Linked DNA regions of Arabidopsis thaliana. The protein of the gene in region 3 interacts with the protein of the main gene of each other region in a biochemical or structural test. Each region holds a gene or a part of one and is shown on either strand. Other genes may lie near its edges. The genes, in order: AT1G72430, AT5G20820 and ETR2.

Region 1 (3,402 bases), on a different chromosome or scaffold from region 3:
CACCGAGTGACTTGTCAATCATTAGCGTGTCGGAATCAATTAACAAGCTTAATTAAACTTAGCAAAGAAACTTCTTTTCTTTGATTATAATGATTAGAACTTCGTCCTACGTAGGAAATTAATTTATTTTGGTCTTACTAATTATACTTATCTTCAATAATTATTCTGCGCGTCCTTTTCGTACCCACCTCGGAAAATTAATGTCAGTTATTTTATCTACCAATTTATGTCTATAAACGTATATTAATGCACATATGTTGGTGTAAGTAATGCCAATTAGTACAACAAACTACAAATTTATTAGTATATCGACTAATTAACCTGTAAGCTTTAATTTATTTTGTATGGCTGAAAGTTCAAGAATATTAAAAGATAAATATATAATGTCTGCAACTAGAAAGGAGAGTAGGGACATGAAATTGGGACCAGGTCACCAACGCGTCATGAGAGCGACCATTATTATTTCCTTAAAAGAAATTGCATACGTATTTTCTATTTTATACACACACAAAAATAGATTTGAAACTGACACCATACAAATGATACGCAAAAAAAAAAAAAAATGAATATCGATGATAGAAATCATTGCTAGTCATATTTTGTTTATATAAAGCAAAATAAATGAATTGGACTCATCATATTCAACCAACTTTTGTTTATCGAACATCATCAAAGGCCTTCTTTATTATGTCATGAGACTCATGACTCATATGAGAAAGATACGTTACGAAAATAGAAACAAAAGTTTACAAAACCGCCATAATAAAATAAATATAGAAACAAAACCTACCAGAAAACTTAGTTTGTTTTCTTGAAATCATTGCATTCTTTTTTTATGTATATTACAATTAATATAGGTACTGAAATACATTTTGAAGGAAAATATATATAAAGATTGTTGTTAGTAGAAATTTATTCTTGGTTGGTCTTAACAAAGTAAGAAAACTACATATGCTCATCATCATCATAAAATTGCTCAGAAAAACGGAAGCAAATGACATGGTTTACGAGATCACGTTTTGATCACACACCGCATCGAATGAAAATACAAATCAGCAACAACAAACAACAACAAAAAAGGTATATATTATACGAAATAAATGTATAAAATCAATCGGTCGATGTCAATAAGTATAGAACTCAGCCAATTCTTCAACGGATCCTCCTTCTTGACCAGACTTGAGCATCCACAGCAAGTGCTCGAACAAAACGACTTCACAAGCTACAACAATCTCACGATCTTGTTCGATGGATCTAGAAGAAGACCGATCCACGAGTTCTTGAAAGAGTGGGTGAGAGATGATGTCTGGTCTAAGCATGTAAGGTCTTCGAGTTTGACCAACGTAAACCACATGGAGATTGTTGTCTTCTGAGAGTTCGTCGGAAACAGCGGCTGAGGAGGTTGAGTGGTGGTGGTTCTTGGCGAAAGAAGGCCATTTCTTCATAGCCGACTTAAGCTTTGTCAGCTTCCCAACTTTGGCCATTGCTAACGAAATTGAACTTTTTTCTTGGGGTTGGAACAAGAGAGTTGTTGAAACTAGCTAGGGTTTAGGGTTTACGAGGAGATTTATATGTGTTGATGTGAGTGTGTGTGGGGATCAAAATATTGGAAGAAGAAGAGAGGAATGTTTGAGAGATGTTCTTGGGAGGAAATAACGAGGAAGGTTCGTGTATATATATTGAGTGAGATAGAGAGAGAACGTATAGGTGCATGACCCACCGATTGATGCATAACAGCTAAGAGAGATGAGGACATAAATGGCAAAACTAGTATCGTTTTTTGCCCATTGTTTTTTCTTTCTTTTTTGTTGTATCTTGTAATTATATATTGAGATTCGTAATAATTTTAATTTTGTAATAAATTTTGCCATATTCATTCATTTATTTTCATGTTACAAATTACACTTGCTGATAAGAAAAATATTGTAAAATTATGATAGATGGATGAGGGAATGATACGGTCTACGAAAAAACTGATAAATACGTTCTATTAAAAAAAACAGATATAACAAGTGATCATTACACCATTAATTTATTTGGCTAAATATATATATATATATATATCAATAAAAAATACATAATAAATAACATTTTATCTAATTTAACATAACAAAACTATTAAATTATTTGATACAATTTTTTTTCCTTTTTATATATATTTGATACTATATATACACACTATTTCTCTTACCTGTGACATTTTGTTTTGCCTACATAAATGTCAGACACCACAAATCCAGTTTTGGAAATGCTTGCTTGATAAACATTCATGTTTGTTGTATAATTTTTTTTTAAATTGTATTTTGTATATTATGATGTCTTATAGTATATAATAATTTGTAGATATATACATATACGTGCGGTGAGTAGAGATGTGTAGGCAACCTCTTATTGCGTGTTGTTGTCTAATGATCGGACAAAGAGCGATGTTTTTTAGATAACGATTACATCTTGTCCACAATTTTGTTCAATATTACCCGATAATGCTAATTTTTTGTCGTTCATATTATCATGTACTATAGAAAACAAGTATGGTCTTCATCTGTCGATTTACCTTCGATTTTCTTCATTTCATATTAAGAACATAAATTAGATATGAACATTCAAAAAGCATACTATAAAATTAAACTCGTAAACTCATATAATTTACACGGTAATTAGGTTTTATTGACGGATGCAAAAACTAACCACAAGCATATTATGCTCTTTTCGACAAGACACAGTCCTTTTATCTAGTGCAAATGCATAATCATAAATATTGCTCATTCTTTTCATAAAGTTAGTTTGGCATTTCCGAGAAATTAGGTGGAGAAGACCTTACCTTACCGTCTGTCTTTTATCGAACAAAAAAAGTTGTGGATGGTAAGCTAATCATTTAAGGAATTTTTAGATACTTCTTTTTTATAAATGGTCGAACATATAGTACTTGTTTATAGCAAAAGAAATAAAATAGTAATATAGTACTCTCTCATCATTAAACATTAGATAACTATCTTTATCTTAATGTACTTATGTAGCTAGTAAAACATCAAACCAGACCTACAATTTGATCAAGAGTGAAATATTTTATTTTTGAATAGTGAAGATCTTAGAGAATTTTTGAAGATTTGAAGAAAGGAAAATGATACGCGCATATATGCAGCATATACATACTGGCATCACACGAAACAAACAAGCAATCTGAATTTAGGAATACTAATTACTTCCGATTCGTAATCATTGCAATGATTAGCATAAATCGAGTTATGCTATAACTTAATTATATAAAGGTAGCAACATGTATTACTTAATATTCTAAGGTGTGATACTTTTAGAAATTCATTTTTTTGGATTAGATTAAATATTACTAAAAAGGTTAGAAACTTAATTTAAGAGAAATTTTCGATTAGTTGTATTAAAAAC
Region 2 (2,866 bases), on a different chromosome or scaffold from region 3:
ATGTTTAATCGTTTTTTTTTTCATTCTGCATTTTACCAAATAAAATCAGTTTCTTACATGACTTTTGCCAAAACAAAAATTAAAAAACATCACATGTAGATTTAATTTATTATATTTTTTTTTCTCAGTCATCATATTTCTTTTGCGACTTTAAAAGATGCAAATCCGTCTAGACTTTATCAAAATTATTTATCTATATAATACGTTCATTGTTTAATTGTTTAGTTTGTATGTTTATGTGCAATTGTGCATGACATGCGTGTATACGTATGTTTTTATGGAAAAAAAAAGATACACGGATAAATTTTATAAATATATTTAAATACGTAGGGGCCAATCAATCTAAAGTAGATAAGATGAATTGATTAGGGTTTGAAATTTTGTAGCCCGTGATTGATCTAGTTCACGAAGTCAGTCAAATACAACATTGACATTGCAATTAGTTTTAGCTCTTTGTATAACCATTAAAAAATCATCATTTTTAAACTACATTGCAACTTGCAAGACAATATTTACACATTTAAACATTTATTTTATCGTTGTTGTATCATTTAACAGAAAATAGATTATTTCACGAAATACTATGTAAAGTGTAAAGTATACAAAGTGTAGAATATACAAACATGTAACATTTAATCATAAATATATTTTGAACCTAAATTAATCATAAAGAGTTAACAAGCGTAGAACTCGACAAGTTCGTAGACCGACTCGGGGCGTGACTCATCGGCGTCGGCGTTCTCCAACATCCAAAGCAAATGCTCAAACAAGACAACTTCGCACGACACAGAGATGGAACCGTCCTCGCTGCCGCATCCACCATCCACCGCCGCTAGCTGCTGGAAGAGCGGGTGGCTCACGACATCGGAGCTCACGTGGTATGTCCTCCGTGTTCGGCCTACGTAGACAGTTTGAAGGTCTTCAGAGGGGAACGCACTCACGGCGGAGGATCGGCTGTGATTGGTTTGAGCTGGTGGCTGGTTAGGCTTGGTGTTGAATGAATTGAGTTTCTTCAAAACTGATTTCAGCTTCATCAGTTTGTTTCCTCCTTTCGCCATTACCGATTCGGTTTGGAGAAGTTTGACGTCGGAAATGTAAGTCCGAGTGAGTTTTCCGGTGAGAGAGAGAGAGAGAGAGAAGCGAGGAAGAGGAATGTCGATGTCGAAGAGAGAAAGGAGAATGATGTTCTTATATAACTTGCTAAGGGTAGATTCGTAATTATAGTATTATTATTTTCAGTATAATTTCATGGTTTTAATAAGTTTGAGAACGTTTAGGTTATCAACCGATTTTTGAATAGCCATTATCCAATGATCTAAAAGTTTCCAAGAGCCGGAAGCAATTATTCGAAAAGATTATGATTATGAATTGGAAAGATAAAGCTAAAAGTATATATTAAAACATGCAAACCCACATCACTCCAAAAGTTTTTGTTATCCCAGTCAACCATATACATCATCATTTCCCCATAACCATTTTCTTAAAACTAAATTTGGCTAACGTTTTAACTACGTTGTGGTAAGAACCTTCGAGACTTCGAGTGTGTAAAGTGTAAACTTATATTTTGGATGAATTTTTGTTAAGTTTGGATCTTCATCACATTTGTTTTTGTGTCATTTCAATCCAAATGATGAAGTAACGAGTACCACAAACTTACTAGATTATATGTTCTATTCAATATGTACTTTTCTTCAAAGGATTTTCATAGTATTTATTAGAAACTTTAAATATATTCTCTTTTCTTTCAACGAATTTCAGTTAGATATTTAACTACGACAATTTTTCTTCTAAAAATTTATGGAGTTCCCATTTTTCTCGTTTATATAAAATATAAATTTCTTTGAATGAAGATCATAACAATATAAATGAAGCTGTGAACTTTATGTAATCACTTGATTATAATAAACTAATCCAACAACTAAAGGAGGTTCATGAACTTCTAAAGCGGCTTATTAGTTCTAATTAGTTAGGTAAGTAATTGGCTATCTCTGCTTTTGATTAAAAAAATTATCTTCTCTTTTTTTACACATAACATGTTACAATAACAAATACTATAAAATTGCAAAATTTTGTCATTTTGTTGTGGTTAGATTAGACTCCGACATTATTCATTTGTGAAGTTTATTTATTATTTACGTAGTATTGGCTTCTACTGTTACAGCATGTGAGTTCCGGAAGATTTGTCTTCTTCTTTTTTTACGTAAAATTGTTTATATCATAATCAGCCGACACAAGGGCATCAAATGTCTTTCTAATCATGTAACCAAAATATTAATATGAAATTGGACCTCCTCCTAGTTTGTCTACTTATAATTAATTGAAAAGTTTATCAATCTTCGTAATAAACTAGACATCATATTAATTAAAAGTGTGAGATTTATAAAAGATTGGCGGAAGAGTCCAAGTAAAGATAATATAGAAGAAATTAAGATGAGAGCAACGACCAATCACAGATTTATAGTATCAAATAAATTTGTTAGTGAAAATGTCAAGTTCTCTATTTTTGGGCGGACTCGATCACCTGCCAAAGCGTCAAGCTGTACTAGAGGAACCGTTTAGACGACTGAAGTTTCTTTCCCAAAAGGCCAAAAAACGTTGAAAAACTATCTTATAATGCATATGCATTCATAGTTTACGTTCACCATTGCAGACATATAATCTAAACCTTTGAAAAACCTAAAGCTAGCATGGAACTTACTCATAAAGTTGATACAAAGCTTTAGTTCTTAATATCAGAATTGCCTTAAACAAAGGGGAATGCACACACATGTGTGTTCCCCACTATTTAAGTGGTGCATAGCCCGTGGACAATAAAACCAAACATTTGTTTTGAGGAAACATTTATAAACAATACCAAAAGTTTAAT
Region 3 (5,910 bases):
CTGTTTTACTCGCAATAACTGTAGGCAGCCGGGGGAAATATTTGGATTCTTGAAAGTGTAAAGTGAAGAGTGGTTATCTATTTGGACATGATTGTTTTCACTGTAGTTATCAAATAATTAGTACTTTAACTAATAATTAAGACTAATCTGTCAAAGATTGTCGGGTTCGAAGAAACAAATGTATAAGCACAAGTGGGTTTGAATATATAATTGCAAGTTACGTAAACCCATCTCTTCCCTAGATTCACTTTCTGCAAATCCAATCCATTTCTACTTTATTTTATGCAGTTCTTTTAGTTTAATAGGCTCGAGGAATGTGCAGTTTTGTTTAATGTAATCTTCTCTAGTCCAGGGGGCATGAATCTAACAAATAATTACTATATTTTGATTTTTACTGGTAACAACTAATAAAGTCACACATTTTTTTCAATGATTCTTTTGTTTGAAAAGTTTATTACAAAAGTGGCAGACGACATTATCTACAACTTTTCATGTTCCAGGATAATTTAAGAGAGCTCTAATACCTACTAGAGAATTAACTTGATGTAGAGTAGTAACGAAGAAAATTTATCTTCAAAACTCTATAATGCCATATTCAGTTTCGTAAGTTCGTAACATAAAGAAAACAAAAAACTACGAAACTGACTCCTTCTTGACCCTACGAAATACTAAGATTCAATGCAATTTCGTGGGGTTCAAAATGAGAAAAAGAACAAAAAAAAACAGGATGTACAAATCATAGAGATATGGGTGGTATATATAATAACAATTTCGAAATTTCATTTTGATATATTTGACATAAATCTATGGTGTAAAAATTTTGAATGTAGAAGAGAAGTTGAGATAACAACTTAGAGAAGTTGGTCAGCTTGCAACAATACTCTTCGGAGCTCACTCTCCATAGCTCTTAACACCACTGGCTTTCTCACAACTCCATTGATTCCAATCTGTGCACACTTGTCCCACATTTCTTCATCCAAGCTCACTGTCGTCGCCACAATCAACGGCCAAGATCGACTCCTGATCCTCATGGCCACTTCATAACCGTCCATCTCTGCCATTTGAAGATCAAGCACCACCACTTGAAACGAAGTAGAAGGCGAGGACGAGCCGGGAGCAATGGCGGTAAGGCAATCGAATCCAGAGGAAACCGCGGTTACATCGCACCCGAGTTTCTCTAAGAGTTTACGTGTAACTGCCCGGTTCGAATCGTTGGTGTCTACCAATAAAACTTGTAAGCCACGTAACAGAGAATTCGAATGTGGGTGAGCGTGGTGGTCAGGAGCTGGCGACTCGCTGGATCCATGGACAGATATGGAGGGTCTACGTCGAAACCGAAGGAGCAACGACATGGTCTCCGGTGAACCATCCGAGCCAGGGACCACCGAGATATTCCCATGAATCAACTGCACACATTATCAAAGAACTCCTAAACAGAAACTCAGACTAATGACAGGAACTTTAGAAAGAGATATGTAAGGAAACTCACCTGCACCACTTTCTTACAAACACCAAAGCTTAGATCTTGTCCTAACCCATAGCCGCCGGAGAATCTAACATCACCAACTTCTTGATCTCTGGAGGAAACAGAAGCAAATGATTGAGAACTTGAATCATCATTCTCTACATTCATTTCAAATCTTATATACACATCTCCATCTGCTGAAGAAGCCGGTGATCTCCAAGCAGCCCATCTATGATCACTCCTATCCAAGCTTCCTCTTTCTTTCAAAACCTTAAACATCAATGAAGATCCTTCTTGACGTTTTCTAGGCTTTACTAAACTACCAACTATATGAAGTATCACTTGAAAGACCCTTCTTTCATCACCTACTACATTATCAGGTAGAGACTTCTCCGCGTCAACCAAGAACCTAATTCCATTGCATAGACACAAACATCTCGCCATACAAGCTGCTTCATGGATCGTACGATGCAGACTAAATGGTTTCATCTCCGTACCAAATCTACCGTCAGGCACATCCATAGAGTCCCCCACCAAATTCGACATAACATTCCCTGTTTTAACCATCGTATCAACAATCATTTTCTGCTCGTCACTCAACTTCTCGTCCTGAATCATCGACAAAAGACCGAGTATCGAATGCATAGGACGCCTCATCCCTTCGCTCATCGTTTTCTGAAACGCATTCCTCGCTTGGCTCGCTCTCAACGCGTCTCTCTTCGCCATCTGCAACGCCCTGTTCTGTTCCGCCAGCTTCTCCCTCATAAGCTGAGACTCTTCAAGAACCGCTGCATGATCTAACGCAACGGTTACTTGATCCGCCACAACTTTAACAATCTCAATCTCCTGATAAGTCCAATCCCGAGGCGTCCCGCCCGGTAAAACACAAACAAGTATCGCATAACTTAGCTCTCCATTAAAATCCGAAACACGAAGCATCGGCATTCTAATAGCAGCCACGGCACCAATCTCACTAACATCCCCACCACCACCACTAGCTCGAGCAATGGACGAGTCAACACTCAACACATTCACTTCATCACTCTCCCTAATCCTAACAACATCCAAATCCTCCATAGAAACAGAACAACCACCATAACCACCTCTCCCTCTCAACTCATGAGTCAAATCCATCTCCGTTCCACCGTCATTCGGCATCCAAACCGCACAATTCTGCAACCCTAAAGTCTTCGAAAGCTCAACCAAAGTAGTATAAAGAATCGTATGACGATCCAAAGACTTACGAATCTCTTGAGTAAGCATACGAACATGAAAGCCAGTCTCTTTCTTAATCAAAATCAAACCAACTTCACGACCAAGCTCATGAGCTTTCTTCTTAAGCATAAACTCTCTAACTTTAACTTTCAAAAGCAGAGGAATCAAAGTAATAAGCGTAATCGCAGTAGCACAAGAGACTAAAGCAGTCAACATCTTGAAAACAGTAAACGCCATCATTAATCTAAATGGATGAGCAGAGTAAGTCCAACCATGAAGAAGATGAGTCATACCACAAAGAACAATGAAGGCGATAAACTCAAAGAGAACCCATTTGAATGGAACATTGGAACAACTCACGAAGTAAAGTAACTCAATAGGGATTGAGAAATAAGCTACTGCGATTAAGAAATCGCTTACTCTTTGAGTTTCTAGAATGTTCTCTGTACTCCAGAAACTGTTTCCTTCGTCTTCGCAGTTACATCGTGGATAACCACCGCCGTTTATAGCTAAAACCGGAGAAACAAACACCACCATTGATAGTATCAATAACCAAGAAGCTATTTCTTTAACCATCTTCGGAGAAAAAAAATGCTTAGTCCATTATACTCTGCAATTAGAAAAACAAGAAACAGAGTGAGAAATAAAAATCAAAACTTTAATTTGGGTAATAGTAGAAAGAACAGAGAAAGAAAAATTTGGAATACCTGAAAGAGATGAGTTTGGATCAAAATGAAACAGTTCTCAGATCTCTCATCGACCTGTGAAATTCCAACGAAGTGATGTACGAGAATCTTCTAATTCTCTTCGACATTCCGATCTTCCTCTCATAGAAGAACAACGATGACGAGAATAAAAATACACAAAGAGAAAGACAGAGACAGAACAAAAAAAGCTGGTGATGACAAAACCAGAAGACTTAAAAGTGAAGAGATAGAGACAAATCTGAAACTACTTTGAAGTTATATAAAAAAACGTGAAGTACGTTTATTTATATATGCCGGAGATGATTAGTGCCGGAAAACCGCCATAAGCCGCCGATGGAGGATAAAAAGAGAAGTGTATGTATAGGGTGTAAGTAAAGGTAGGAGCCGTTGGTTTTAGAGGAAGGTTTTGAGATTTTTTCTTCTTCTTTATTCTCTGATTTAGAAACTTAAAGAGGTCCCACTTGTTCTTACATGAACCGAACTTAGACGGTCTTTTGAATTTTTTCTGAGTTGTGTTTTTTTTCTTACACTTAATAATTTTTTGGTCACTAATGTATTAATAAATCATTTAATATTGAAAACATTTGTTATTTCCTCAACTTGTACGTTTTATAAATTTAACTTATTACAAGCTGTAACATAGAATAATTAATGGGTACTCTGAATTTTATCAAAATCCCGTATATCATGAGACTGAAGAATAGAATAAAGCTTGTTTATTTGTATATGAATGAGTAAAATATTGGTATAATTGTTGGAAACTATCAAGCCACATGACATGAATCTAGGAACCTAAAAATTATTTTAATAAATGTGTTTTATTCCAAGAAAGTATAAAATTAAGACCAAGGAGGCAAATAGATCATATATTTCTTAAATTAGCTTTGTTTATAAACAAAAGAGCACAAAATCTAACGTAATCACTGTGTTTTGAACTGACACAAGTAGTCGGATATTTGATGAGATTAGTCTAATACTCTAATTAGATATTTTAATTAGTCAAATATTTACAAAAAGAAGATATGTATAACGCCTTAAGATGTTGATTAATATGAGGGACCTACAAAACTGTGATCTTTGATTTTATTATAATGTTTCCTTCACCATACATGAATCTAAAGAGTAATGAGTATATATTTGAAACCACATTGCTATTACTTTCCTAACTTTTAATTGTATGGTTTTGACTCTAGAAGAAACCATGTTAGACCACAGAATGTCAGAATCGCATGTGTTCTTTTATATTGAAGCTCTAATTAGTATCTACCAATCATCTTTGAAAAACATCATTGTTTAAAGCCTTTGTACATATTTATTTTATTTATTGATAGTACTATCTAAAGAAATTGAACCTAGAAGTTTTTAGACGACACGTTACCTAAGTTTTTTTTGTTGGTGTTTTTAGTGGTCACTGTAACAACAGAGAGTTTTAGCATCACTACCTATAACCATAATCTTGATGCTTCAAACGGAGTCATACAATTACAGAACAAAAAAAAATACATTGAAACTCTTGAGCATATTTTGTGAAGCTAGTTCGGATAATTTTGAATTTCCACAAGTAACAAAGTTTCTTGTTGTTTTTGTAATAAATCCCATCTTTATCTATAGAATGAGTACAAAGTCTCAAGAGACATTTAACTTTTTGCAACGATCTAGAAGAAAACACTTTAAAAGGCTCTCATGCGTTCTTCTTGCTTAACAATTAGTCACCGACTGTCAAATGCAAATGTTCTCCTAGAACCACAGTCATAACAGGGTGCTTTTCAATGCATGAGCACAATGAGAAGGAAACCCATATATCAAATATACAACTTATATATGACCATTAATCGCTTCGGTTACATTTATTTACCTCACGGGCAACACCTTCGTTTTTCAAAGATTCATCTTCTCGTAGATCAAGAATTACCATAACATCATATCTGAACCATGAACGAATGCAAATATTATATGTTTCCTCAACAATAGAGCATAGAGAAGTGGTATTTTTAATTAAGATATGTACTATCTACAGCTGCATCAATCTCTGTATCTTTCAAACCATCTGGACGTTTGAAATCTCTGACAATCTAAACAACACATGAACAAAATGTGTCATGAACATGGGTTCTTGAAGATACTGTAAACTTAAACAAGAAAGAAAATAAACTTAATGTTAAAGGTGGTGATATAAGGAAGATGTTGTCAAATCTAACCTTCTTAATTATCTCGTTCTCAAGACAAACACGATAGTCATCTGCACCAAAGACAGGAGCACAATGGACAATACCAGTACCACTATCATTCATGACATAATCATCTGCTACTAGTCGAAAAGTCACACTTGAGAAATCGCTAAAAGTAATCAAACAAAGGTTCATACTTCTTCCCAACCAAGGAATCTCCATTAAAATTTTCCAAAACTTGATAAGAATCCTCTTCACTGTCAAGCTTAATTAGCACCTTTCGCATTATGGTATCACTAGTAAGTTCCATTAGTTAAGCCGGCCTTAGGCTTATCACTAGGAAGCGATGACAACC

Evidence for each region.
Region 1: the proteins of ETR2 (region 3) and AT1G72430 form a complex in vitro, tested with the Arabidopsis thaliana proteins (one study listed by BioGRID).
Region 2: the proteins of ETR2 (region 3) and AT5G20820 form a complex in vitro, tested with the Arabidopsis thaliana proteins (one study listed by BioGRID).

The regions. Positions count from the first base shown.
Region 1 is NC_003070.9:27,264,026-27,267,427, forward strand, and holds AT1G72430 (SAUR-like auxin-responsive protein family), read right to left. Parts: upstream 1,782-3,402; 5' UTR 1,485-1,781; coding exon 1,125-1,484; 3' UTR 577-1,124; downstream 1-576. UniProt on the Arabidopsis thaliana protein: May be involved in the regulation of ethylene receptor signaling. Promotes cell expansion and plant growth.
Region 2 is NC_003076.8:7,046,237-7,049,102, forward strand, and holds AT5G20820 (SAUR-like auxin-responsive protein family), read right to left. Parts: upstream 1,211-2,866; 5' UTR 1,059-1,210; coding exon 675-1,058; 3' UTR 511-674; downstream 1-510. UniProt on the Arabidopsis thaliana protein: May be involved in the regulation of ethylene receptor signaling. Promotes cell expansion and plant growth. Involved in the regulation of cell elongation.
Region 3 is NC_003074.8:8,252,502-8,258,411, reverse strand, and holds ETR2 (Signal transduction histidine kinase, hybrid-type, ethylene sensor), read right to left. Parts: upstream 3,854-5,910; 5' UTR 3,388-3,853; intron 3,291-3,387; 5' UTR 3,257-3,290; coding exon 1,490-3,256; coding exon of another isoform or gene 1,442-1,489; exon of another isoform or gene 1,407-1,441; coding exon 852-1,406; 3' UTR 524-851; downstream 1-523. Other genes in the region: AT3G23145 (ATP binding / aminoacyl-tRNA ligase/ nucleotide binding protein), read right to left, coding at 5,216-5,280, 5,396-5,459, 5,586-5,771. UniProt on the Arabidopsis thaliana protein: Ethylene receptor related to bacterial two-component regulators. Acts as a redundant negative regulator of ethylene signaling.